Linked DNA regions of Medicago truncatula. The protein of the gene in region 1 interacts with the protein of each later gene in a pairwise test. Links are inferred from orthologs where the notes say so. Each region holds a gene or a part of one and is shown in the gene's direction. Other genes may lie near its edges.

Region 1 (7,108 bases):
CCTTATTCATTTAACATTTATTTCATATATTTCTCTCTCCACAATAAATAACTAAGAACAATATTGATAAAACAACATCTAATGTTGCATTGAACTTTGAAAGTGACAGTTAAATAGGAACAAAAATTTTCTCCAAAAGTGACACTTAAAAAGGAATGAAGGGAATATTTTTTGTATCTCCGAATTGCATACTCTATTTATTTTGCCAAATGGATAGGATCTTACCATGAAAGTTGGGTTTAGAGTTTAGTCCAAAACATACTTAAAATGCAGTTTTTGTCCTGATTTTAATTTCTTGATTTGTAAATATAAAAAAATCGGGTGGCATTTCACATGGGAAAGGCCAATCCTTTCCTACCATGGGAAAGTTGGATTCAATGATTGGATCAAGTGAAGAACATATTCTTATCATGCTCTTTCAACATTAGATTTTTCTTCACACTATATACCAACAATTTTAAAAATTAATTTCCAAAAATTAAAAAAATCGAAAAAAATTCAGATATTTTTTTTTAAATTCTGTAATTTATTTATTGAATGTTAGAAAAAAATTTGAAAAATTGAAAATTTATTTATTTATTTTTCAATAAAAATAAAATTCTGGAAACTAAGATAAGTTTTTATTTTAGTAATAAAATGAGATATTCTGAAAAATAAAATAAAAATCCTTTTTTTTTTTTAAATTAAAGTTTTTTATTTTTATAATTAAATAAAATTCTGGAAAATAGTTTTTTTATTTTCAAAAAATATTATCTAATTTTTTGTTTTTATACTAAAAAAAAGTTTTATTTTGGAAAAAAACTTTTTAGAATGTTAGGAAAAAAAAATCTGATCCTTTTTTAATTCGGAATGGTAGTAAAAGTGTGTGCAAAAATCTAGTGTGAAGAGAGTATGATAAAATTGTTTTATTTATTTCATCTAATAGTTAAATACCAACTTTTCCATTTGTGAAATTGTCTTCGTCTCTGCCTCTAAGATCATCTCCAATTAGGATGTATGGATGTTTAAGTTGATAAATCTGCACTTTAATTTTTCAACCATCATGCTGCAAAATCGATAACATATAAATCGTTGAAGTATTTATATAAAATACGATATTATAAAATAACATTGAATATAGTAAAACTACCTGGTTTAGTTTGGATTTTAGAATGTGTTTCTTGTAAAGTCTTGTTTTGATTCTTCTTGTTCTTAGTTTTGGTGGATCGGTTTAGCTTTTTATTATTATTTTTTTTTTAAATAAAACATTGAATATAACTTAAAAAAAAATACTTCATCTGGTCTCGAATATAAGAAAACATTCATTTTTTAAGTTCATTAGATAAAAGATATATGTGATTTATATTATAGTTCAAATATATTATTTATTGAATGAACTTTAGAAAGAATTTTTTCATGTATTTGAGATCAGAGGGAGTATAAAACATGAGTTAATTAAGAGTTGTGTAATTTTTCTTTTTGTATTGGAGCAAAATAAGCATGATCCCATAAGTAAGATGTGCATTGAAGATCCAATTTTTTTAACGATAAAAATTATTTTGACAAATCGCACAATTAAAGATTATTTTAGAAATTCGACAATTTGAATGATTACTCGTTATCATTCAAGAACAAAAATGACAATTGTCTTAAATAAATAAATAGATGAGGTGTTCTTTGGTATCGATGTGATTTTAATAAAATCACAATAAAAGTTACTTCAATCAAATGCGTTATTAAAATTTGAACAATGATATTTGTGCATCATTACTTTCCATAAATCATTAAACACCTTAGGGTCTGTTTGGTAAAGCCATCAAACGAGCTTATAGCTTATAGCTTATAAGCTCGTTTGATAAAAAAAGCTCTGTTTGGTACTGTCTTTTCACCACGAGCTTATAGCTTATTTCACGAGCTTATAAGCTATTTTTCAGAAGCTATTCCAAGTAGCGTTTGAGCTTATAGCTTATAGCTTATCATCTTTTCTTTCATTTTTACCCTTATCATTTTAATTAAAACCCACTTTTACCCTTTATATATTAAAACACATTTATTACGTTTTCTATGTTTTTTTGTTCCTACGTTTCCAGTTTCTATATACTTCCAATTTAATTAGTACAACTCAACTACTCGAGTACTCTTCAAATAAAAAAAAACTACTGGAGCATATTTTTTGAGCATATTTTTCATATATTCATCTACTCGAACTTACTACTTTTAAGCATAGTTCATCATGTATGACGTTGAGATGTATGTTTTCAATGCTTTGTTACGATTTTTTTTTCTCTTGTAACAATTTTTGTTTTAAAATAAAATTATTTTTGAAAGAAATTTTTAAACTTGAATTTTTTTTGAAGTATAAAAATGGAAATGGAGTAAATTTAAAATAAAACTATAACAAAAAATTAATATTTTTTTGAAAGAGAAAAAATAATAATTTAATAATATATAAAATATATATTAAGAACATAATTTAATAATTTTATTAGAAATAAAAATGTCCTTTTATGTCATTTTACATTTATCAGCTAGTTTTACCAAACACTTTAATCAGCTTATCAGCTATCAGCCATCAGCTATAAGCTATCAGCTAGCTTATAAACTATCCGTTATTTTTACCAAACAGAGCCTTATTGTTTGTCTATCTTTCCTTTTCTATCTCGTTAACAATATATCATATCTATCACATCACTTCTTTTTATCTTTTTCACAAGATGTCAAATGGTTTTGGATGTACACCAATATTTTTCCTTCAAATTTTGTGTGATACACCATTATACCAAGTACTCACTCTGGTCACTATTATAAGCAAAACTCAACTTTCTAGATTCATTCAATAAAGGGTTAATATGCCTTTACCCCTGTAATATAGATCACTTTTGGTTTTGCCCCCTGTAAAATTTTCTTTTTGGAAAACCCCATAGGCTAGCTGACTCTGTATTTTCGTAGATGTGGCATGTTGCATCACTTTTTTTGGATGACGTGGCGCGCTGACTGTATAATTTTTTTTATGGGGTACACGTGGCATTTATGATTTTAAAAAAATTCTTAATTTTTTTTTTAAAAATGAAATAAATTCTGGAAAAATTAAAAAAATCTAGAAAATTTAATTTAAAAAATATGGAAAAATTAATATAAAACAAAATTTTCAAAAAAATTATAAAATAAAATCGAAAATATATTATTATAAAATTCTAGAAATTAATTCTGAAAATCAAAATAATTATATAATAATATAATTTCGATTTTTTTATAATTTTAATTTAATTCAGATTTTTTTATAATTTTTTTGAAAATTTCGGTATATATTAATTTTTTCATTTCATATTCTCAAAGGAGTAAAAATATTAATTAATGTATCTTTCTATGACATTTCATATTTTTATGTTACTTCAATTGCAAATTTAATCAGCTAACGTGTTTGTTATATGGTATATATGGTATGATGAAGTACGGACACTGACACGAACATCAGACACGACACGAACACTGACACATTAACACAAATAATAATTTTAAAAATGACATAATTTAGTATAATTATAGACATCATATCTGTGTCAAATATCGACACGTATCCGACATGAGGAGTTAGGACACACCTAATTCAAGAATGTCCCTACCTCATAGGTTATATGTTATAAAATCACCACCAAACCAACCAAAATAAGTTTAATACTTTTATAAGATCATCCATTATAAACTAATTTATAATCTATTCACAATTTTTACTAAATAGAGGTTATACATATACTAACTAGGGGTCCCAATGGTATATTAATTACCCTTGCTATTATATTTTTGTTCAGAAAAATAAATGTACTTGTGTTTATTCAGAGAATAATAAAATAATAATGTTTGTTGCAGTTGCAAGTACTTGATAGCGTGTAAGTATTGTACTGTTTCTGACTTCTTTATAGACACATTACATTACTTTTGCGTATATAGCTCTGCTTTCCCTATTTCAATTTATTAATAATATACTCTATTATTATTCTATACTATAGTACAGTACTATTCTACTAGTACCATTTTCTTTACCTCTTAATTATTTTTTTCATAAATATAAATACTATAATATAATAAAGCTGCAAGGGTTAGAAGTTGTTGTTGGAAGTAGCATGCACACTGCTTCTTGCTGTTTGAAGCAAAGAGAAAAAAGAGAGAGAATAGAAAAAAGTGCTTTGAGAATTGTAAAGAAAAAACAAAGAAAGAAGGCACTGTTTCAGAGTGTGATGTGATGAGTGGTTTCACTCAAAGGTTGGTTTCTTTTTTATATTTAAAGATAAATAAAAAACCACTCATTATGCTTTGATACGCGTGCTTTGATGCAAACTAATGAAAGTTTTTTATTTTTTCTACTTTTCTTTTTGTCAAAAGATTTGCACTTTGACCTTTTTTAGCAGTTTTTGTTCCTTAGTTCACTCTTTTTCACATTACTTGGATTGTTTTGTTTTTCTTAGACAAACAACAAAATGAGATTCTCATGTTAAGAATTTAAGAATATTAATGATGATGATCAAAATGGACCCTTGTTCTTGTTTTGTACTACCCTTTTGTTTCTTCTACTTTTCTCTCTCAAGTCAATACAAGTTTATTCCTCTTTATTGTGTTTGGTGGTGATGTTGCATGTTGTGAATTGAAGACTAAGATAGTGGTGAAAGTGGAACATGGCTTCCTTAGACGAAAAGGCTAAAAGTGTTGGAGGTGTTGTTGGTGGTCAAACTCTTGTTGCTGAAATGAAGTTGCTCAAAGAAATGCAAGAACATTGTGGTAAGTTCATGTTTCCTTCTCTTTTTCTTAATTTTTACAATGTTTATGTTATATGTTTTCTTAGTAGAAATTGAGATTTTGCTTTGATTGATATTTGGTTTTACTAATTTTTGTTTAGGGGTTAGAAAGACATTAAATTCAGAATTATGGCATGCTTGTGCTGGTCCTCTTGTGTCTTTGCCTCAAGTGGGGGGTCTTGTCTATTACTTCCCTCAAGGACATAGTGAACAGGTAACATTCAAACTCAAGAATCTCTTTTTTATGCTTTAACATTTGTAAGTGCTAGAATTAGCATGATTCTAGGTTTCTATTGAATGGTTGAAACATGTGTTGAACTTTTTTTTTTTTTTTTTTGTGTTTTGTCTTTTTAAGGTTGCAGCTTCTACTAGAAGAATAGCAACCTCACAGATTCCAAACTACCCTAGTCTTCCATCTCAGTTGTTGTGTCAAGTACAAAATGTCACACTACATGTAAGTAGTGTTCTCTCTTGATTTACCACTTTTTGCTTAACCACTCATTCAAACTTCAAATTATCATAACCCCTTTAAATTGTATGTTTTGATAACAGGCTGACAAGGAGACAGATGAAATCTATGCTCAAATGACTCTCCAACCACTGAATTCTGTAAGCTATATGAATTAGTTAGTTCTAGAATTATTGTTGTTGTTATTGTACATCTAAATGTTATTGGTTATGATTATTATTGATGTATTATTTTCCATTTTTTTAGGAAAAAGAAGTATTTCCAGTATCTGAGTTTGGACTAAGCAAAAGTAAACATCCAACTGAGTTTTTCTGCAAAACTTTGACTGCCAGTGATACTAGCACACATGGTGGCTTTTCGGTTCCACGCAGAGCTGCGGAAAAGCTATTTCCTCCATTGGTAAGGCTATATTGCACTAGGTGGTTGCAACCTTCTTTTATGGCTGTACAAGAACCCTCATTTGATTAGTGTGTTTTGGTTTTAGGATTACACAATTCAACCCCCAACTCAAGAACTTGTTGTTCGAGATTTGCATGATAATACATGGACATTTCGACATATTTACCGAGGTGAGGATGTTTTCTGCATCTATGTAGCACCTAGCATATACACTTTAGATTAATGGTGTGTCCGGTGTATGATATGTGTGTCAGAATCGGTCACCGACACATGTAGTTACATTCAATTTTTTTCACGTTTTCTAATTATTGTCAGTGTCGGTTTCATGTGTGGTGTTCATATCTGTGTTTCATAGTTCTACCATGTCTATTGGTTTGGTAAAATATATAGGAATAAATGTTTGTGGCCGTGGATTACATATTGTATTATTTTAACTGCAACTTTATACTTCCTCTTGGCTGATCTTAACCTTCAAAATATTTAGTCTTAAAAGAGCCTGATTGGGTTAGATCCTTACATTTCTTTCCTACATTTTTCATGTAGGTCAGCCGAAAAGACACCTTCTCACAACGGGTTGGAGTTTGTTTGTCGGCTCAAAAAGGCTTAGAGCAGGCGATTCTGTTCTTTTTATCAGGTAAAATTTGTTTGCTTCATTTTTGTCAAGTAGCTTCAACATGATACGAAACTCTGTTATTATCTGAATATAGGTAGAATAACTAGTGTGCAGAACAAAGTCTGCATAATCTTTCTAATTAGACTTGTTTTTTCTCCATGGTTACATTGCAATGTAATGGTTTTCAATATTGGGAAAATTGTGGAAGTCGGATTAGCAACTTATTATTTTAAATTCTGACCAATAATCATCTTCACATAATTTAATACTAAGTGTGATGTGTCATTGTTACAAGGGATGAGAAGTCGCAACTGCGAGTTGGTGTAAGGCGTGCTAATCGTCAACAGACAACACTGCCATCATCCGTACTTTCTGCTGATAGCATGCACATTGGTGTGCTTGCTGCTGCAGCTCATGCTGCTGCTAATCGAAGTCCGTTCACGATTTTCTACAATCCAAGGTATACCTAAATATGTTTATACCTCACCTGACATTAAATATTTTTAGATCTAATCTTGGTACTAATATTGTCTGGAGTGTACTATTTGCAGGGCATGCCCTTCAGATTTTGTTATTCCACTAGCCAAATACAGAAAATCTGTCTATGGGACTCAGCTGTCAGCTGGCATGAGATTTGGTATGATGTTTGAGACCGAGGAATCGGGTAAGCGCAGGTAATTTCCTGAATTCTTCTGAACTGTTTTCTGGGATATGTGCAAACTCCTGAACTAACAAGAATAGTTGATATATATATATTTCTTCTTATTCTGCAGATATATGGGTACAATTGTAGGTATCAGTGATGTCGATCCTTTAAGGTGGCCTGGTTCTAAGTGGCGAAATATTCAGGTAGGTTAA
Region 2 (7,643 bases), on another chromosome or scaffold:
TGAGATTGGTTTTCACATTCAATAAAATCAATCCCTTGAATGATTTTTGTCTATATTTGTCAAGTATATTTCGGTTACAAGAATATTCCCATTGTTTTGAAAAATTCAAGCAAGCATAATAATTTGTTATTATTAGGAGTAGCATGTAAATCTATTTAATATTCTTAACGTAGTACGTAAAAATATTATATTCACTAAAATTTCTTTCAAAAAATGTTACTGCATTTACCATGAATAGGAGACACGGTCCATAATTTAGTTAGGTCGACGTATATTTTGACAGGGAGTTAGAATTTGTCTATATAGTTGACAATATTATTGTTATGTAGTAGTAGCTGGCAGGGCCAAGATTTTGGTTTGCAAAGTATAATCATTTCATGTCAGCAAATATGTCTTGGAATGGTTACTCTCTCTCTTCTTCTCTCTCTCTGCATGCATTGCAATATTGCATAATATCTCTTTCCATATACGGCCAGGGAGGGTCACCCCCACCACCCTCCAACAAACAAGAATCAATATTTGAGATCATAGTTTTCTTCTTAATTGCGTGTGAGTTGGAGTGACACTATTTGCATCTTGTTGGTTGGACATGATATATTGGCAGAGCTTGAATTTCACTCTATAGTTAATAGTACATTTTTGTTATAATATATACCCTTTTCCCATATGCATGTCAAATGTCAACATCCTACAAACATCGACTGTGGTATCACTCATTATGATATTTTGAGCATGAAAAAGGACGTCCGAAAATAATAATGGTCATTTTGAAAATGATCGATGTTATAGTTCCACATGTGATTTTGTTAAGAAAATGGGGAGAGTCTTTTTTTTTTTTAGAGAAGAAAATGGGGAGAGTCTGGAACCAAAAGAATAGTTCCTTATGTGGAAGAACTTGAGCTAATTAAAGTATCACATTAAATATTTTCATGTAATCGATGTCGGACTTTTAACATTAAGAGTCGGTGTTTATGATGGCTTTCCGTCAACCGACATTGATTGGATGATAACTCTTTTATTTATGGAGACTTCACATAGATATCAATATTTGGTTGAACACTTTAATCAAAGTTTAGATGTTGCTCTGTCATTGGTATACCTCAATGAAATCATCAATTGTTATGACCTTATCTAGGTGTGCGAGGAGAACACAAACCAAAAAGCGAACATTAAACAAAAGAGTCGCATGACTTAAATATCACATCGAACATTTTTATGTACTAGATGTGAGATTTCTAATAATTTCGGAGATGATTTTTCTCAACGTTTTTGCAGTGTTCTTTTTACCCCTCCATGAACTAATTCTCTTTGATGAATGTTGCATAAAATGATAGAAATGACAATTTTTTCCTCATGTTCTATATATTGTAGATAATTTTATTAAATGGGAGCTTGTCTCTAAGTCGTAATTTGTTTTGATGTGACGGTCTAACCCCTTCTTCTGTAGTCTTAATCCTCGTTGATCTATATAAAATATTTTACTCATTCCGTTTCATTTTTAAGTGCCATATTTGAAAGAAAATTGTGTTTGTGTTGTTGCTTTGTCATTGGTCTACCTCTCAATGAAATCAATTGTTATGACCTAGGCGTGCGAGGAGAACACAAACCAAAAATCGAACATTAAATGAAAGAGTCACATGACTTAAATATCACATCGAACATTTATATGTACTAGATGTGAGATTTCTAATAACTTTAAGTTGATTTTTCTCAACTTTTTGCACTGTTTTTTTTTTACCTCTCCATGAACTAATTCTCTTTGATGAATTCTGCATAAAATGATAGAAATGACAATTTTTTCCTCATGTTCCATGTTGTAGATAATTTTATTAAGGGAAATGTTAACGAGTATCCCCTTACACTCTTTAAGCACCTTTAAATGGAAAGTTTTTAATGAAAAGTTGTGTATTGAATGCATTGGAAATTGTAATAGTTGACTTTTTAAAAGAATTATTGTTAAATTTGGGATGCTTAAAGAGTGTCTCGGGGGCACTCGTTAACAAGACCCTTTTATTAAATGTGAGCTTGTCTCTAACTCATAATTTGTTTTGATATGACGGTCTAACCCCTTCTTCTACTCTTAATCCTCGTTGATCTATATAAAATATTTTACTCATTCCGATTCTTTTTTTAGTGCCATATTTGAAAGAAAATTTTGTTTGTGTTGTTGCTCTTTCATTGGTCTACCTCTCAATGAAGTCATCGATTGTTATGACCTAGGCGTGCGAGGAGAACACAAACCAAAAATCGAACATTAAATCAAAGAGTCGCATGACTTAAATATCACATCGAACACTTTTATATACTAGATGTGAGATTTCTAATAACTTAAGAGTTGATTTTTCTCAACTTTTTGCACTGTTTTTTTACCCCTCCATGAACTAATTCTCTTTGATCAATGTTGCATAAAATAATAGATATGACATTTTTTTCTCATGTTCCATATTGTAGATAATTTTAGGCTAAATTGCATTTTTGATCCCTTAATTATTTTGCTAGTATCGCTTTGACCCCTTAATTAAAATTTGATTTATTTTGGTATCTTAACTTTCTATCGTTACAAATTTTGGTCATTTACGTTAGTTTTAATTCAAAAACGTTAGGGTCATCTTCTTCTCCTCTTCTTCATCTTCATATCATCTCCATCAACCTTTCAACAACAAAAATCCAAGAAAAATTACATAAGAAAACCTAACGTTTTTGAATTAAAACTAACATAAAGGATCAAAATGTGTAACGATAGAAAATTAAGATACCAAAATACATCAAATTTTAATTAAGGGACCAAAGCGATACTAGCAAAATAGTTATGGGACCAAAAATTCAATTTAGCCATAATTTTATTAATTGCGACCTTATCTCTAAGTCATAATTTGTTTTGATGTGACGGTCTAACCCCTTCTTCTAGTCTTAATCCTCGTTGATCTATATAAAATATTTTACTCCTTTCGTTTCTTTTTTAAGTGTCATATTTGAAAGAAAATTTTGTTTTTTTTTAACTGTCATTTTTAAAGTTCAATACAATATTAATAATTAACTTATCAATAATACCCTTACTATTTTTCTTAAACTTGGTATCTGATTCAAGGATTGATTGATCTGAAGAGTTCAAACTGATCGCCACTTGTTAGGGAAATACCCTTACAATTTATTACAAAGAGAAAATTAGATGGAATAAAATATAAATGATTAATGATAATATAGGTAAAATATAAATGATAATATCAAAATTAACCATACTTATTAAATATCTTTGGTACGTGTAAAAAATTACAAAATCACACTTAAAAGATAAGAGTGAATGGATGGAGTTCTAATTAGTAATTATTTTTCTTGGAGGAAAAAGATAATCACGGGGATAACCATTTTTTTTTTATAGACAACATACCAAAAAAAAGGAAGACATAGCAATTTTTTTTTATTTTGACAAAACATACCAAATTTTCTTTTATCATTGTTTAATTTCGGAATTCATGGGATGTCGAAAATCAAACCATTTCAATAGAAAACCGCAATAAAAAAAAGTGCAAAACTTCTGTTTAGTTTAGTGGTATTTAGGTCAATTTTTCATTCAACAATGCGATTCAGTTCAGTTTACGATTTTTATACTGCAACCTGAATTAAGTCAAACTACATGTTCACTTAACTTAGAGTATTAAATTAGTAACTCAACCCAAACACCCTTCACTTAAATATATCTAGTCTTGAATAATTAATGTATCTAGTCTTTGTTATGGACATGATACATTAATTATTCAATGTATCTGAAAAATTAAATTTTGTTTATAATAGCAACCGGAGGGAGTATACAATGCAATGACCTGTGTTAGTACCTTTATCAATTAGGATACTTGGAATCACATAAAAGAATATTCATTTTCTTTATAAATAACTAGCGAAAAGACGGACATTCAATGTATCTGTCTTTCCGCTCTTTTTATTGCGATAACGTTTCAAAATTATAAACAGTGTTTTTTTTTATGAAATTTTGATTTTGATTAAAACTAAAAATATAGATGTTTGTTGCTTTCAAGTTATAACAAACCAAATTAACCATGATTATCTATTTTTATGACACCAACAATATAACAAAAAAAAAAATCCAAATTCTTTTTTTAATGACATCAACAACAATCTTTATTATAGAAAATATTGTTTTAAAGTATAATTGGTATAATGAAAAAAGTAAGTATAAATATACTCATTTAGTTTGTTACACTTTTTAGATGATAAAGGAAGAAGAAAAAACAGACATATAAATATTCATATCGTAATTCTTTTCTTTTAGGAATTTAAGGAAAAAATACAAAGTCAATTTTCTGGTACCGAAATAATAGGGTTATTTTTAAGTTAGTTAAGCTAATTTTTCTTTTTAAACTTAAAGTGAAATTGATATCAAGTTGCTTGATTTCAATAGCAAGGATAATGAGCTACTTCTAAGGACGTATTTAAGGAGACTAAAAAGAATTTGGAATTAAAAGTAAAGAAATGAAAGTGTGGAAGTTGTTACGGTAACAGAAGATGTTTGGTCTGTTTTGCCCCTGTCCCCTTAAAATGAATATAATATTAGTATTATGATGAAAAAGGTAAAATTATTTTATGAGTATGTATATTATACACACTCCAAAGCACACTTTTTGTTGCTTTGTGCTTAATGGAATGGAAGGCCCTTGAGTAGAATAGACTTCACTCTCTCTCTTCTGCTCTTTAGGTTTCACTCTTCTTCACTCTGCCAATTCTTCAAACAACAAGGAATAATCTCTCTCTCTCTCTTCTTCTTCTTCTTCTTCATTCTCTCTTCTGCCTTCTACACCAACCTTCCATTTTCACAGGTATGTTACTTCTATGCTTCATTTTTTATTTTATTTTATTCTTATTTTTTTTTTCGACAATAATTGTTCTTGTGTTGTTGTTTTTAGCTATTTTGCTTTCGGGTTTGTTTATGTTTGTGTCTTTTATGTTATTGTTTCTTAGTTTTTTCATTCACATTCCTTAGCAAAAGTTTTGTTTTTTTTTGTTTTTCTTTTTATTTGAAGGAAATAATTTGGAAAAAAGGTGGGTGTGGATCTATTTTTATAAATTTACTTTTTTTCCTCTTGCAAGTTGATTTTTTGTTTAATTTATTGCTTAATATGGGGCTATTAAATTTTACTTAGATTATGTTGGGGTTTCCTTATTGCAAAATAAAAATCCCAAATTTTTCATGGTATTTTCATTTTTTCACATTTTACTTTTTTTATTTTTTGGTACAACGCATTTTTTCATGTTAATTACGATTTTAAAAAATGAAGGGTATTTTCCATTTCTAAGCGTTCGAATATTATTTCATGAGCTTTATTATAATATTTTTGTTGAAAAAAGACTTATTTATATATTTTGATCAGTGTGAAAGTTAGGGGGTAAAAATGTTATTTTGATCCGTGTGAGAGGGTGAGAAGAACTAATCTTGGAGATAAAATCATTCATAGATGATAAATGATAGGTTCCTATAAAAACCAAACTTGACCATTAATTAATAAATCAAAAATGTCTGCTCTCACTTCTAAAGTTATTAGTTAGATGAAAAACCAATGGAGCACTGATGCACACCGGACACTAACACGTCGACACTGATAGTAATTTGAAAAAATGATACGATTGAATGTAATTACATGTCCGACAGGGACATTGACGCCTTCGATCAAAAGTGTCGATGCTACAGAGGTTGATACATACATAATAATATATACTATATCCAAAAGCAGAGATTTAAAACGTGGTTGTCTTTGCAATCCTTGATATTGTGGAAAATCACGGCTAAATGCGGCTGATGTAGCATCAATCGCAGTTGCACAGATATTAAATATCTTGATGTCACAGCCGAGATTGTAATTGCAACCCTTTTTCTAAACATTGTCTAAGAGTGTTCACATGCAATTGGATGCCCTCTTATTAATCTTGATTTAGTCTTTGCACTATGAAGAATTGGGTCAAACACCGGACACAACACTAACACTAACATGCGACATCATTTTACTAATTTGACAAAATGGAATAACTGAAGGTAACGAGGTGTGTCGTTGTCAGACGCCAAAAACACTTTTAATTTGAAGTGTTAGTGCTACATAGTCTGTGCTAGCCTACTTTTATTATTTCATTCATAGTTAGATGAAATGGTTACCATGTTCGTCCTATATGAAGTGTAAAAATTCGGTCTGTTTAATCTTTCTGCCAATGTATTGCGTGAATTGTGCTTTTATAACTTTCTTTTATGACAGTTTGCATATTTGGAATCTGATGTCTCCGCCACTGCTGCTTCCTGAAGAGGAAGGGCAGAGCAACCCCTCAACGGTAGCATCTGCATCTCCACAATCCTTGGACCGTTTTTCTCAAACTGCAGCTGGGTTGAAGGAACGCAATTACCTCGGATTGTCTGATTGCTCATCGGTTGACAGTTCTACTGTCCCAAGCTTGTCTGATGAGAAAAAAGAGAACCTAAATTTGAAAGCGACGGAGTTAAGGCTCGGACTTCCTGGATCTCAGTCGCCTGAAAGGGATCTTGATCTTTTTCCGTTGAACTCAACAAAACTTGACGAGAAACCACTTTTCCCTTTGCTTCCCACTAAAGATGGAATCTGCTCGTTGTCCCAAAAGACCGTTGTTTCAGGCAACAAAAGAGGTTTCGCCGACACACTGGAAGTGTTTCCTGAGGTGAAAAATTAAACTTTTTCCTTTTACTAGAGTTAATATATTTTTGGTGTGTTGCAAATGATTTTAGTGTCTGGGATGTTAACCTAGATGGGATTGTTGAAACTATAGGGATGCTTTTGCACATCAATTTTGAATAACAAAAGGTCAAATGGATGTTCATACTGCTTTTGAGTCTGATTCTTAACAATATGTGATGCAGGCAAAATATACTGCTAATACTCGCGTAAACATACTGCTTTCGCCGAGACCTTCTGGAGCTCAGCCTACTACAATTAAAGAAATGCCAAAGAAGGTGGTACAAGAGAGCCCTTGTACAGCGAATGGAACTGGAGCTCCCATCAGTGGCAGTGCACCGGCTGCTAAGTAAGTAGAACATGCTACATCAAGGATCCACTATTTTCTGGACAATCTAGTTGGACAAATATATTAAGAATAAACCTTCAGTTTATTCCTTTAAGTATCATTCTCTCTTCTACTTAGTCTGTAAAATATATAGAAATAATCGGTAATTCTTGCTATTATATATTGACAAGAGCTACTAGGGATTAAAGAGACGAATTTCATATAGTTTAGGGACTAACTTGACAGATGTCAGATGGTTTAAGGACTATTTATTATTTTGATTTAGTTTAGGGACTAAATAGAAGAGAGTGATTCTTCAATGACTAAAGCAATGGTTTACTCAATACCTTAGAAGGGATTTTTTGATGTCTTTGTAATAATGCTAATTACTTTCTATGTACGACAGAGCACAAGTTGTTGGTTGGCCTCCTATTAGATCATTTAGGAAAAACTCACTGGCCACCACTTCAAAGAACAATGACGAAGTGGATGGAAAGCCTGGTGCAGCTGCACTATTTGTGAAGGTTAGCATGGATGGCGCTCCTTATCTTAGGAAGGTAGATCTAAGAAACTATACAACATACCAGGAACTGTCGTCTGACCTTGAGAAG
Region 3 (6,126 bases), on another chromosome or scaffold:
ATGGAGGTTTCTACGTTCATATCATAAACATTGCAACGGCAGTTAATTACCGCTGATGCCAGCGGCAGTTAACTGCCGCCGGTTTCTCCAACGGTTGTTAACTACCGCTGGGGTAAAAACGTCATTTACTTGTGTTAATAGAAAGTATTTCTATCATAAAACTGGGTTGTCTGCTTTGCATTCTTAAAATCTGGTTTGACGAAAGTGCTGATAACAAAAGGGTGTTGATTTTTTTTTATTTTTTTTTTTATATAACCAACGTGTGTGCTTGGATTTTCGTTAATTATTTGAGAATTTTTTAAACTTATTCTTGGAGTTTTTAACCAAAGTGTGTGCTTTGGAGTTTTTTTATTTTATTTAACCGAAGGGTGTGCTTGGTGTGTTTTTTTTAACCAAAGTATAGTGGGAGGTAGTGAGGTGATTGCAGTGCAGCCATCATCTCATGACTTTGCTTGTTTGAAACTTATGTATCTGCATGCAAGTGCATATGCATGTTATATGCTAGTGTGCTTGCGTAGTTGCACATCTTTACGTTCCAAATTCTAAACTCTAATATATGAATTCGAACATGATTGATTATGTTACTTTTCATTTATCTTTACTTTTCATTTTAAAGAATGCTCTGGGACATCCGTTAACATTTATCGTCTATTAATTACCCTCAAACAGTAATAATCGAGCTATATATATTGGTCACATACTTTGCATTGAAAAACCAGGGGTACAAGAACAGGAACGGTGACTAAATTGGCCTTATCGTTGCAAGACACATTTTCTCCGGCAATTAAACAAAACAGAAACGTTAATTGGTTTACACATTGCTTAATATTCATGTACTTTGCTGGGGACCAAATGACAATTTGATGGCTAATTCAAGCAACCTTATGGTTGGTAATGGTATGGTGGGGAACATTTTCATTTTTTTTTGTCTTTTCTCCCGGTTGAATAGTATTTAGTAGTCTCATACCTCCTTCTTTAGGTAGCATGTCGTTTCTTTACATTCAAGCAAATTGTACCAAGTTTTGCTCTTTGATTTTGTTTTTTAAAGCTCTTGTTCCCTCTTCAACTTCTGAACCATAGGAAAAATAATAAAAATAAAAATTAAGACGTGCTCATGGAAATAAAATTGCTTAGTAAGCGTGAAATATTACACGTGGGAGCTATGTGTTGAATGGAGAAGAAACTTAGAATATGATGTGTTAACAAATTAAATTGAATTTATTTTGTGTCCCCAAGACAGGAGCTCGGCATCACACTACCATTAAAAAAGTGTCATTAGACATTGTTCGACAATTCTGATTATTATGTCTTTTTGTTGCTTAGTGCTCCCTCCCCTTCATATCAAATCTCTTTTTCTCCAATACTATCATTATGTCTTTTATTTTCTTAATCTCTAAACAAAAACTGCTAACCTAATTTAAGAATACTAATCTTTATTTTTTGGTTAGGAGTTAACCTATCTGCTTTATAATTCTCATTATATTCGGTGAATGATATTGATGAAGACTTTGACTAAGAAAATATATAAAAGGTTTCAATAATATTAAAAGAAATTATAGTGACGTTTACTTACTTCTGTGATATATTACACAAAACAGAAACGTTTACTTACTTCTCAATGTCTGAGTCTATCACCTAAAAGAACCATCAAGCAAAAAAAGGCCAAGCATGAGTTTTTCCTTTTTAGGGTTCTAGTATCTTTATCAGAAAAGGCCAAGTATATACATATATAATGCCCGTGCTTTATGTGGCACAATCCTTTTGTTAACAGACACTTATTTTAAACGCTCTCAAAAAAAGACACTTATTTAAAACAAAAGTCTCCTAAAAAAAACTTATGCATAAACAAAATATGTTAGTAATTTATAAGGAGTTTGTAGTAGTAGTAGTACTAATAATAATAATAATAATAATAATAATAATAATAATAATAGCCATTAATTGTACCCAACAAAAATTAAGCACAACATATATACACACTTTTTTTCCTCTAAAAAAAGCATACACATTTTTTATGAATATATAAGCACACAATGAAATGATATTCCGCCCATCTTAAATATAAATAAAAATGTCATATATTTGGTTCGAATTATTATATTTTACACAATTCATTCGAATTTTTCTTTTTGGTTCAAACAAGGATTTTTACATCAAAAAAATAAAACAAGGAATTTGCATAAAATTCATTACTTGTATCTAATGATTTGTCTCATAGGCGTTCAAACAAATTTGTGAGATATTATCATTTCACATCGAACCTATAAATACTTTTGAACGTACACTCATTTTACATCATTCAATACGTTAATTCTCAGTTTACAAAAATATGTAGTGCTATTAACCAGATTAACTTCTTCTTTCTATTAAACTCGCAAATTTGCCGTAAATAATTCTAACCCTAAAAATTACTACTATGTCATTCATTCACGTCAACGATGGTTAAAAAACAAGGAAAATGATGTCAAGCTTGGTAGTGTGTCTAGTTAAATTATTGAAAAGCAAAAGGGAGGACACTTGTCTTATAGTAGTAAATTAGGTTCAATGTGTAATTAATTGTAATAAGTAGTTAAGTACACCCTAACTAAGACACATGTTAAGATTTTTCCAAATAGAAAATACTCCGTATTTAGAAAAATAAATTTACACTATTTTTGATACACAATATTTTTTTTTGGTTTAATAGCCTAGTGGTCACACAATTAATTGTGGAAAAATGGGATGTCTGGGGTTCGAACCCAAACCCCTGCATAAATTATACAATGTTCTTACCAACTGAGCTAAGCTCACGGGAACTCGATACACAATTTCTATATTTCACATTCTTAACATATGTCTTAAGACATATGTTAACATGTGCGTCACAAGTAGATGTTCTAACAATTTGGTCTTAAGTTTTTGGTGTGCACATGGTAAAATATTTGTTTGAAGATTTAAATCCCTTAATTTAATGAATATCAATAATAGTTTTAATTTTTGTAGTTGTGCATGGAAGATACAATTCCTTTGTTAAAAGAGTTTCGTTAACAAGTATCTTAAGAGCAATGGTTAAAGAATTCATTTATAGAAATTATGTTTTAGAAATGCAAGTTTTTACTTTTATCTCAACAATAATTACATAACTTTTTGTTATAAAGTTACTTATTTTAGTACTTTAACCAACATCTCAAGAGCATTAGTTAGCATTCTTCTTGTTAAAAAAATGCTTGCAACTTATCTTCATATGTATACTCTCATGCTGTTGATAGTTTCTTTGCTATTCATGGAGCGTTTCAAGGAAGGAAGCATCACAAGTTTCAATACCTTATTTGTTTATAGAATTTGGTCTCAGCAATCAAGATCCCTCATGCGCTACACGATGATTATATCCAATATTGAACATTGATCCATTGGATATGACCTATGTTATGTCTATGTGTACAAGGTTTCAGTTATCAATGTTCTCTTGTCCACCTCAATATTGCCCATCAATTCTCTACACAGTCTAGGTTCATTCCCTTCAAACAAAAACCACCACACGCGTTGTCCATTACATGTCTCTATTGTAACTCCAACATCTCCTTCATATTTCCTCTAAATATATTAAAGTGTTCATATTATTTTACATGCATCATAAGCACTTACAATACACTGGTTCTCTCTCATGGACGTGCATAAAAAGACGTTTCAAATAATGAACAATTTTTAATGGAATAACACGCGTCAAAGTATATTGTTTTGTATACCAAAGAAGATTCACATTGCTTAATTGAAGTTAAGTTGGTAAAACAAGAGTAATTAATGATATTTATATGTCAATTTTTTTCTTTTTTTTGGCAATCTTCTATCAAAACAATGAAAAATAAAGATAAAGATAAAGAAGACTAATTATAATAGAGAGTTGTCCAAAAATTATCATAAAATAGTTGCACATATTAAATTTAGAAGTTTATTAAATACTCAATCTTTTCTACCTATCGAGGCTAACTAAGCTATTATCTCATATTATCAAAACTTTCGAACTGCAAGATGTACATATGTGCTTGAGCCCCTTGTGTGAACTAATTTTTAAGATTGAAATTTAAATTCACGATTTAACATCATATTAGAGTCGGATTAATGAAAATGTTGATTACATCAAAGAATACATTAATAAAATCATTATAGCTATCAAGAACAACTGACTATTGTAAGTAATTGGTTTAATTAACTTTATATTTGATAAAAACCGTCTATGTTTAGATAAGATCATAACGAATAATATTACTACGGTTTCAAATATATATATATATATATATATATATATATATATATATATTAAAACAAAATCAAGTATCTCATTAAAACTTTGAACAAAATATATCTATTACTTTGACTTTTCTTCCTTGTATTTGAAAATTGAAATAGGAGAAATTGCTACATCACACTTGAAAATATTTGTTGAAACATAAAAAGATGCTGAGTTGGATTCTTAAACTGACACGTGTAATTGTCGGCTACATTCACAACATTTGATGGTCCACCAAATTACATAGGAGAAACAAAAAGAAAAAGAAATGTTAAATTGGCACAACAGCTGAGGAAGTCTAATTGAGTTTTTTTTTCATAAGCATAGCATAGATCTCTCAATTAAATTTGTTTATATATAAGGCCTTAAGGTGGCGGCTTGTTATGTCATCTAGCTCACAATCACAATGGGAAAAACAAATAGTTCAAATTCTTCTTCATCTATTAGCAGTAACAGCAACCATAATCTTTATATTTCTACTGCATCCTCTCTTACACATCAACTTCCCACAGATCTTAGTCTTGGACTCACCATTTCTCCCACTCAACATTTTCATGTTGGCTCATCAATTTCAAGGTTAATTTCTATATATATATATATATTCACCATTCATATATCATTAATTATTTTATGTTGATTTCTTTTGTCATTCTTTTATATTAGGGGGCAATGGCAACAAAACTATGACTACAATAGCTTGTATGTGAAGGTGTACATGGAAGGAATTCCAATTGGTAGAAAACTGAATATACTTGCTCATCAAAGTTACCATGAGTTAGTTAAGACTCTTGAGCACATGTTTGACACTACCATTCTATGTAAGATCCTATTCTTATTAATGTCTTGTAAATTTTATGATGTTTTTGTTTACTTATTGAGTACTATTTGGAACAGGGGGGAATGAGATGGATGGAGTGCAACCAGAAAGATGTCATGTGTTAACTTATGAAGATGAAGAAGGGGATTTGGTCATGGTTGGAGATGTTCCTTGGGAGTAAGTTAGTTTTTGAAGAACACAACAAGACATTATGTATGTGTATTAATGTGTTTGTGTTTTTTTTTTTTTTTTTTTAATGTGTAGGATGTTTTTATCGACTGTTAAGAGATTGAAGATCACAAGGGTAGACACATTTGGGTGTTAAAAATGTATATGACAACAAATGTGCTTGATTTCAAATTTTGTTCTGTAGCTAGAGTGAGACTCAATAGAGTGTGATTGTTATGTGATCATGTAATGTAGAAAAATCTTACTCTAGTTAATTAGTGGAGTATGCGGAAAAACATAGATGTAAATGCATAGCTCTCACTTTGTTTTTTAATTTCTAAGAAGCAAATGGAAAAGAATAGTATTGTACATGCTCTATTCATCAAGCCCACCAGTGACTTCACTTTCGTTTGAATTACTGTGTTCTAAGATTAAGTTTATTTAAATATTTTCTCAAAAAATCATTTATGTAAAATATATTTTCAGACCAACTGATTCTTTGAAATTCCAATGTAACGAACAATCTATAAAATAAAAAATAAAAATTGTTATAAGTTCACCAGTAAACTACCAAAATAGTCCATTGACTTTGTGATGAGCTTTCAAAATTATGAGAATAATGGATATTTCAAATCGGCCATTAACATTGCAAGATGTCTCATATTTGAGTAAGAATCTTCTCTATTGTTTAAACAGAGATAAACACAAAATAAATAGTGGATCTTACAACTAAGTGAGTCCCAAATTATTAATTATTTTAAATTTTTTTTCTCTTCTAATTTTATCTATGTCTTTGTTTATCCAAATTGAAAAAATTGAGAGAATCATAAATGATGATGATTCTGACTCCTCATATTCATACTTCTATTATCTC
Region 4 (6,672 bases), on another chromosome or scaffold:
AGTTTATTAATGTAATTTACTTAATTTACTAACGAATACCATTAAATATGTATTTGTATCCATTAAATAATGGATGGTTGAAATACCTGTTTATTTTATTATGTGACAGATTTTATTCACGGATATCCGCATGTGAGATTATTATGTCATCCCTACAAAAGGTCTAGACTCCCACAAATACGTAGCCAACTAAAGTTCAAATCTAACAATGAAATATACTCACATTTAGTGTTGGATAATGTCAAGATTTCTTCCGATGAAGGAAATCCATGAAAAATTAAAAGTTCGATTAAAAATCTTAAAAGCATATATGATAAAACACAAATAAATTAAAAAATGACAAATGCATTTTCACCAAGGATGAATTTGGTAAAACATAATTTATGTTTGAAATTTTTTTCTTCTAGTAAAAAGTGTGCTTAACACTCGAGCGTTGAGTTACGAGTAAAGAATAAAAAGTTGAGTCTTATATTCGAGGGTTTTGGGTTCAAGTTATGCCGTCTCTTTAAAGGAATTTAGATGCAGTTCTTTTTGTAAGCACTATTTGAGTTTTAAGATCTTTCTGCCTTGTACAACAACACAATCCCTTCACACTAAGTTATATTGGAGCAGGAAAGGTTTGTTGCCAAAGGTTAGACATCAACATTACTAGAAATAAGATTTTTGGCAAGACTTTTTCTCGGCGACAATAAACTTGTTGGCAAAAACATTCATATAGCAACAACTAATTAAAATTGTTGTATTAAGTTTTTTTTAACAATATTGTTATCGTTGGGAAAAATGGTTTGTCCCAACAATAACTATTGTTGTTGAAAATAATACAACTTTTTATATGCATATAACATCGACTAATCAAAGTTGTTGTAATAGGTTATTGTTATTTATAAACAATATCACTATCGTTGGAGAAAGTGACTTGTTCCAACAACAATTTTTGTCGCTGAAATGGTGATTGGTGCATATCCGGAGATTGTGAAGTGGTAGCTGAGCTTGGATCCACCGTGCTTAGCGAAGATTTTCAGGTCAAGTTATTCAGTTTGGGACTACATAGCTAGCTTGAGCTCGATTTAAGGATCCCTGATGCAGGAGAACAACAATGATCAGTACGTGTCATCAAAGCAAAGCAAAGCTTTCCCAAGGAACACAAACCATAATTAATGCTCTGTATGATGCATATTGCTTCTTTTGAAGTGGTTCAATTCATCCATCAAACTCAGGAACAAAACCTTGCCATGCTTTGCTTTGATTTCTCTAATTAGTAATTGAGATTCGAAAGTGACATCTTATCTATATGGGGTTTCATCTTGCCTGGCCAAACTTAGACACTTAACCAATTTAGTTGTAGGGGTGTGTGTGGGTGAAGTAATGGATGATAGGTAAATGGCCAACAATGAATTAGACCCATAATACTTTAGGGGTCCTACTAGTTGAGTTTGTACCCTTCACCGCATGGGAACTATATAGAACAACTGGATTCCAACTTTCAATCCTTTGTTCGTGCGGAGTTTAGTGAATAGCATAATTTGCCATGCACCATCACGTGGGTTTCACAAGTTTACGTACACTTTGTCAAGCACTATATTGTGCTCTATTGGTAACCCTACACTTGTATTTTGGACCACATACATACCTAATATAGTAATATACGATATATTGCAAAGTTGATGCTTTGTGTAGCGCATTTCACCTTTTCGGTTTTGCTTAACTCGAGTAAATAAGAATTCTCCTTAAATTATGATTGTCATTGCAGACAAATGATCATTAATGATCTTGAAGCAAATGTTTTATGTGCATAGTGCATAAGTAGATTAAACACGCAATTAGTTTGCGTGAGTTCTTTTTTTTTTTTTTGAAGGAATAATTTGCTTGAGTTCTAAAATCATGATATGTTTGACGGGCATTATAGTCGACATATTGGACATATTAACAAACAAGTATCAATATGTTCATGAGCTACTGATTCCTTTCATTTTTTTTTATATATCAAATATAAAAAAAAAAAAAATTGGAAGTTAGGTCTTTTTTTTTTTTTATTTCATTTTTTTTTATTATAGGTCTTTCATATTGGAAGTTAGGTCTTTCATAATAATAAAGAACAGAATGTTAGTGCTCCCGCAACACTCATGAATACTCGTACAATCGTAATGTCCATAGTAACTTCCTTGTTTTGAGAAGTTTTTTCCCCAAAAAATAAATTGAAACGAAATATTAAGGACTTCTTTGGCTTAAGAAAATTATTTATGTTCTTATTTTCTATTCTTTTGGTTGTAAAAATGTCTCTAATTTTTTTTTAATATTTTTTTTTGTTTTAAAATATCTGTATATAATGAAGTAAAAACAATTTCTTTTACTAATTCTTATACATTTCTTTAATTTGAAATAGAAACAAAGTGTAAATTTTACAATTTGAAGTAAAAATAGCACATGAAACTAAAACGTTTTTCTCAAACTAAACAGACTCTTGTCAATTTGTGTGGATTTTTTTTTTTTTTTTTTTTTGCATAGCTAAATAGGAGTTTGTTTTAATTTCTACAGGTTTATGGTCACCACAAGCAGAGTATTTATGATTTGCTGCTAAGAGTTTCTTATTATTTCTTCAGGATTGATCAGAATCACAAGTAACTGAGGGCAATAAACAATTTTGTCACTAATGTTTTGGTTGGAAAGGGGTAACATTATATTAAGAAAACATAATGTTCAATCATGTCCAGCACAAAATACACAAGCTGTTCATTTTATAATCAATACCATTAATATCTCTGCATCTGCTTATCTGTCTGTGTCTTGTTTTATCTTTTCATAAAAAAACATACTGTTTTAAGGCTTAATTGGACATTTGGTCCTCTAAATAATTATGCGTTTATATTTTGGTCCCATAAATTGTAAAACTCACATTTTAGTTCTCTTGGTTTTGCTCCGTCGAATCAAAAAGGTCCTAACTGTTAACTTTAACCCCCAAATGTCTATGGTGGACCGACTTTAAAAATGGTCCACCATAGATCCTATTAATTATTCTAATTTAAACTGTTTGATATTTTTTTAAAAGGAGGGTCATTGGATTACGCAGATGTATTTTATCTTACGGTGAGTCAACAACACTTAATTATTTCTCCCTTTCTTCATCTTCTTCCTCACTTTTCTTCATCATATTCATATCATTTTCACCAACATTCATGAACAAAAATCCAAAAGAAAAAAAAAACCATAATTTTTTCCTCTCTTTACAAAATCTACTCCACTCTTCTTTCATTTCCTTTTCTTTCTTCCTCTCTCTACAAAACAAAGCCATACTCTCCCTCTCCTCCTTTCCAACCGAATTTTCCGGCCACCCACCGTGGTGTTTCCGGCCATCTTTTGTCAAACAAAATACATAATCTACATACTCTCTTCTTTCTCTATCTCATTCTGAAATTTAATTTTGGATCGGAGACATATTTTAGTCTCCAAACCGTCACTTTCATTATTAGATCTAGACCACCACAAATTGTTTCATGACAAACCACTACCATAAACATACTCTCCTTCATATTCTCTACAAAACCCACAAAGAAAAACCACGAACCGGTGAATTTTCTCGGCGACCACCGCACCGGAAAACGACCCCACCACCGCGCCGGACAATGAACAATAACATATTTGGATTGGTTTTGTTTACCGCGCCGGACAACGACCCCACCACCGCGCTGCACCGGAATTTTCTTTATTGTGTTGTGTTTTGTTTTGCTGGATTGGTTTTGTGAAATAGATTTGGATTTGATTTGAAGAAAGCTCAGATTGATGGAGAAATGAGAACTGATTGTTGTTGTGGTTTATTTTCAGAATCTGAAAAAAAAAAAAAAGATTTGTGTGTTTCCAAATTTTTTATTAATTTTTTGGGTTTAAATTCTTCTTTTTTATGGGTTGTTGTGAATTGTGATGAATGTATGAATATTTGATGATGAACAAGAGTGAGGGAGAAGAAGAGAGAAGATGATAGTGCTGGAAAAATTAGGTGCCGATAGCTCACTATAGGTATAATGGACATGCAATCAAACGGCTAATATCATATCAAAAATTTTAAACATTAAAAAACTAACGGAGGGGATCAATTTGACTGACGGAGCAAAACCAAGGGTACCAAAATATGAGTTTTACAATTTATAGGACCAAAATGTAAACTCATAATTATTTAGGGGACCAAATATCCAATTAAGCCTTGTTTTAAATATTAGATTTTCCTTACAATTAATGAACCAAATCCCAAAAGTCTTTTCAGAGTAATGATCTTCACCAAATTTTGGTGAATATGAATATGACACTTCCTTATAGCATGAGACTACTACTAAATATGAATTTGGATTTGCAATTCGTGCAATCACATCGTCATAGACGTTGGTGATCATTGGATCAAAATCGAACGGTCGAGGTTTTAATGCATATTTAAATGTACTTTTTAAAACTGAAATTCCACTCTTGCAATCCAAACCGTCCGAATTGGATCAAGTGACCACCAACGTCCTGATTGTGTGAATGCGCGAATTGCTGACTATAGAAAATTGAAATTCGAATATGTATATGAGGGGACACATTGAGTGGACAATTGAGACCAACAAAAGAGAGTAAAGTGGTCATAGCACATTGGTGCTCTCATTTCTCAACATGCTTATAATGCTGCTACTCTTTTTGCCGACCCAACTTCCTTGTTGTCTGTAACAATCCTTGTTCCACAAGACAATAGTCCTTTTCATTCCCCTCCTTCACTCACACACAAACACACATATATACTCACAACCCCATAAGTCAAGTAATCTCAATTACTCTTAGAAAGCTAGCAAGTACCTATCTCTAACCTATTAGCCTAGCTTCTTATGCTTCATGGAACTTCAGTCAGGTCTGGCTCTACCCATTCATAGTTCCATTGAAGGATTCGATCCCTACAACTCTGATTTAAATAATCACATTCGCGGTTCAGAAAATATAAAGTATGTCAAAAACAAACGTAGCTTTGATGAGTCTTTTGGAGATTTTTCGAAACCTTTGCCTCTATTAGTATGGAGTGGACAACCAAATGAAGAAGATGGCCGCAGTGAAAAGAAGAACAGAAGCATTCACACATCAAACAAGTAAGTTCATGCATGGATCAACCATGAGTTTGACAAAGTTACAACGTGTCACCGTAATTTAGACAAAAGTTACACTTTCTAGCTTCAACAAAATCACAGTGCTACTTGACTTTGTAAAATTTATCGTGATTACAAATTAACATGCACTAAACTAGCTGCTAATATGATTAATTTTTTTTATTATAAATATCATGACACCTTTATTATAATTTTTTGATGTACATGTATAAATAGTGAAGGAGAAAACCATTTGGTTGGGTGGCCACCAATTAAATCATGGAGGAAGAAAGAATTTCATGATCAGCAGCTTCCTGAACATATAAGGAAAGCTAATGAAAATCAAAATAGAAGATCAAAACCTTTGTATGTTAAGGTTAACATGGAAGGGGTTGGCATGGGAAGACAAATCAATTTGAGGCTTTACAACTCTTATCAAACTCTCAAAGACTCGTTGATTAGCATGTTTGTTAAATGTTAGTGTCTAGCGATATATTCATACTTCATAGTGCCATTCCTTTTTAGCTTTTGGTATATTTAGTGGATTTGTTTTTTATTATTTTGAACAGGCCAAAATTTTGAGGAAACTGGAGCAAACTATACACTCACATTTCAGAATAAACAAGGGGAGTGGAAGCTTACAAGCCATATAACATGGCAGTATGTGTCTGTTTTATATAAATATTAATGTTACATACTTTCATGGACAAGTTTATATCACATGAACTCAACAGTTATTTGGATCAGGAGCGAGAATTTAGAAATTTGGAATACGAAATATCATCATTGTAGAAAGGTAAGGTGTCTAAAGATCAAATTTATAACTTTTTTTGCAGATCCTTTATTGGTACTGTGCGGCGTTTGGCTATATTGAGGAATGGAGAATGTGAAACTATCTGACGAAGACTATACTACATAGTTTGTACTTTAATGCTGTTGTACTTTGTTAGTAAAGAGTACTATCTCCTTCAATGTGTTACAGAGAGCATAAGCAAAATATGTGAAGTCAAATTAGTGAATTACAATTTACAAATAATTTGTAATAATTTTGATTTTTTTACTAATAATAATATTGTAATTGTTCAAGTGTGTGCAAATAATTTGTAACAATCTCATAAGTTGATAAAAATGTCAAAATTATTAGACCAGACGTCATGACCAGATTCAAACCCTGACACCTTCACTTATGTGTGTGTTTATGATGACTTTACCATTCCGTCTATCTAAAAAAAACTAAAATTTCAACATTTGCCAAATAGTCTTATCCTTTTATATAAAATGGCTTAATAACACAAAAGAATACTACATCCGTCCCTAATTATAGGGCCCTTTTGAAAAATAACGGGAATTAAGATAGTGAAGATTTGTACTACCTCCGTCCCTAATTATAAGACTCTTTTGAAAAAAAAATTGTCCCTTTTTATAAGACCCCTTTGTTATTTCCAACTACAATAATTATTTCTTTACATACATGCCCCTATTTATTATACATCTTTTTCTTCAATCAGCAATAAATAACATGTTGAAAACATAAATCAACTCTCTTTCTTAAAGGATAAAATTGTAAAAACAA

What was found.
Region 2: the proteins of auxin response factor 5 (region 1) and auxin-responsive protein IAA9 interact in a two-hybrid assay, tested with the Arabidopsis thaliana proteins (2 studies listed by BioGRID, with this or other methods). The link is inferred for Medicago truncatula from reciprocal best matches to the Arabidopsis thaliana genes MP and IAA9.
Region 3: the proteins of auxin response factor 5 (region 1) and auxin-responsive protein IAA20 interact in a two-hybrid assay, tested with the Arabidopsis thaliana proteins (2 studies listed by BioGRID). The link is inferred for Medicago truncatula from reciprocal best matches to the Arabidopsis thaliana genes MP and IAA20.
Region 4: the proteins of auxin response factor 5 (region 1) and auxin-responsive protein IAA29 interact in a two-hybrid assay, tested with the Arabidopsis thaliana proteins (2 studies listed by BioGRID). The link is inferred for Medicago truncatula from reciprocal best matches to the Arabidopsis thaliana genes MP and IAA29.

Annotation. Positions count from the first base shown.
Region 1 is NC_053042.1:7,849,138-7,856,245, reverse strand, and holds the start of auxin response factor 5, read left to right. Parts: upstream 1-4,081; 5' UTR 4,082-4,239; intron 4,240-4,379; exon of another isoform or gene 4,380-4,624; 5' UTR 4,625-4,649; coding exon 4,650-4,752; intron 4,753-4,870; coding exon 4,871-4,983; intron 4,984-5,124; coding exon 5,125-5,223; intron 5,224-5,321; coding exon 5,322-5,378; intron 5,379-5,484; coding exon 5,485-5,637; intron 5,638-5,722; coding exon 5,723-5,807; intron 5,808-6,180; coding exon 6,181-6,271; intron 6,272-6,545; coding exon 6,546-6,710; intron 6,711-6,801; coding exon 6,802-6,924; intron 6,925-7,023; coding exon 7,024-7,099; intron 7,100-7,108. UniProt on the Arabidopsis thaliana protein: Auxin response factors (ARFs) are transcriptional factors that bind specifically to the DNA sequence 5'-TGTCTC-3' found in the auxin-responsive promoter elements (AuxREs). Seems to act as transcriptional activator.
Region 2 is NC_053049.1:30,676,928-30,684,570, reverse strand, and holds the start of auxin-responsive protein IAA9, read left to right. Parts: upstream 1-4,632; 5' UTR 4,633-4,832; intron 4,833-6,257; 5' UTR 6,258-6,276; coding exon 6,277-6,690; intron 6,691-6,889; coding exon 6,890-7,053; intron 7,054-7,438; coding exon 7,439-7,643. UniProt on the Arabidopsis thaliana protein: Aux/IAA proteins are short-lived transcriptional factors that function as repressors of early auxin response genes at low auxin concentrations.
Region 3 is NC_053048.1:52,423,640-52,429,765, reverse strand, and holds auxin-responsive protein IAA20, read left to right. Parts: upstream 1-4,592; 5' UTR 4,593-4,673; coding exon 4,674-4,843; intron 4,844-4,930; coding exon 4,931-5,085; intron 5,086-5,161; coding exon 5,162-5,261; intron 5,262-5,348; coding exon 5,349-5,409; 3' UTR 5,410-5,623; downstream 5,624-6,126.
Region 4 is NC_053044.1:52,829,911-52,836,582, forward strand, and holds auxin-responsive protein IAA29, read left to right. Parts: upstream 1-4,674; 5' UTR 4,675-4,854; coding exon 4,855-5,102; intron 5,103-5,336; coding exon 5,337-5,575; intron 5,576-5,668; coding exon 5,669-5,759; intron 5,760-5,935; coding exon 5,936-5,999; 3' UTR 6,000-6,159; downstream 6,160-6,672. UniProt on the Arabidopsis thaliana protein: Aux/IAA proteins are short-lived transcriptional factors that function as repressors of early auxin response genes at low auxin concentrations.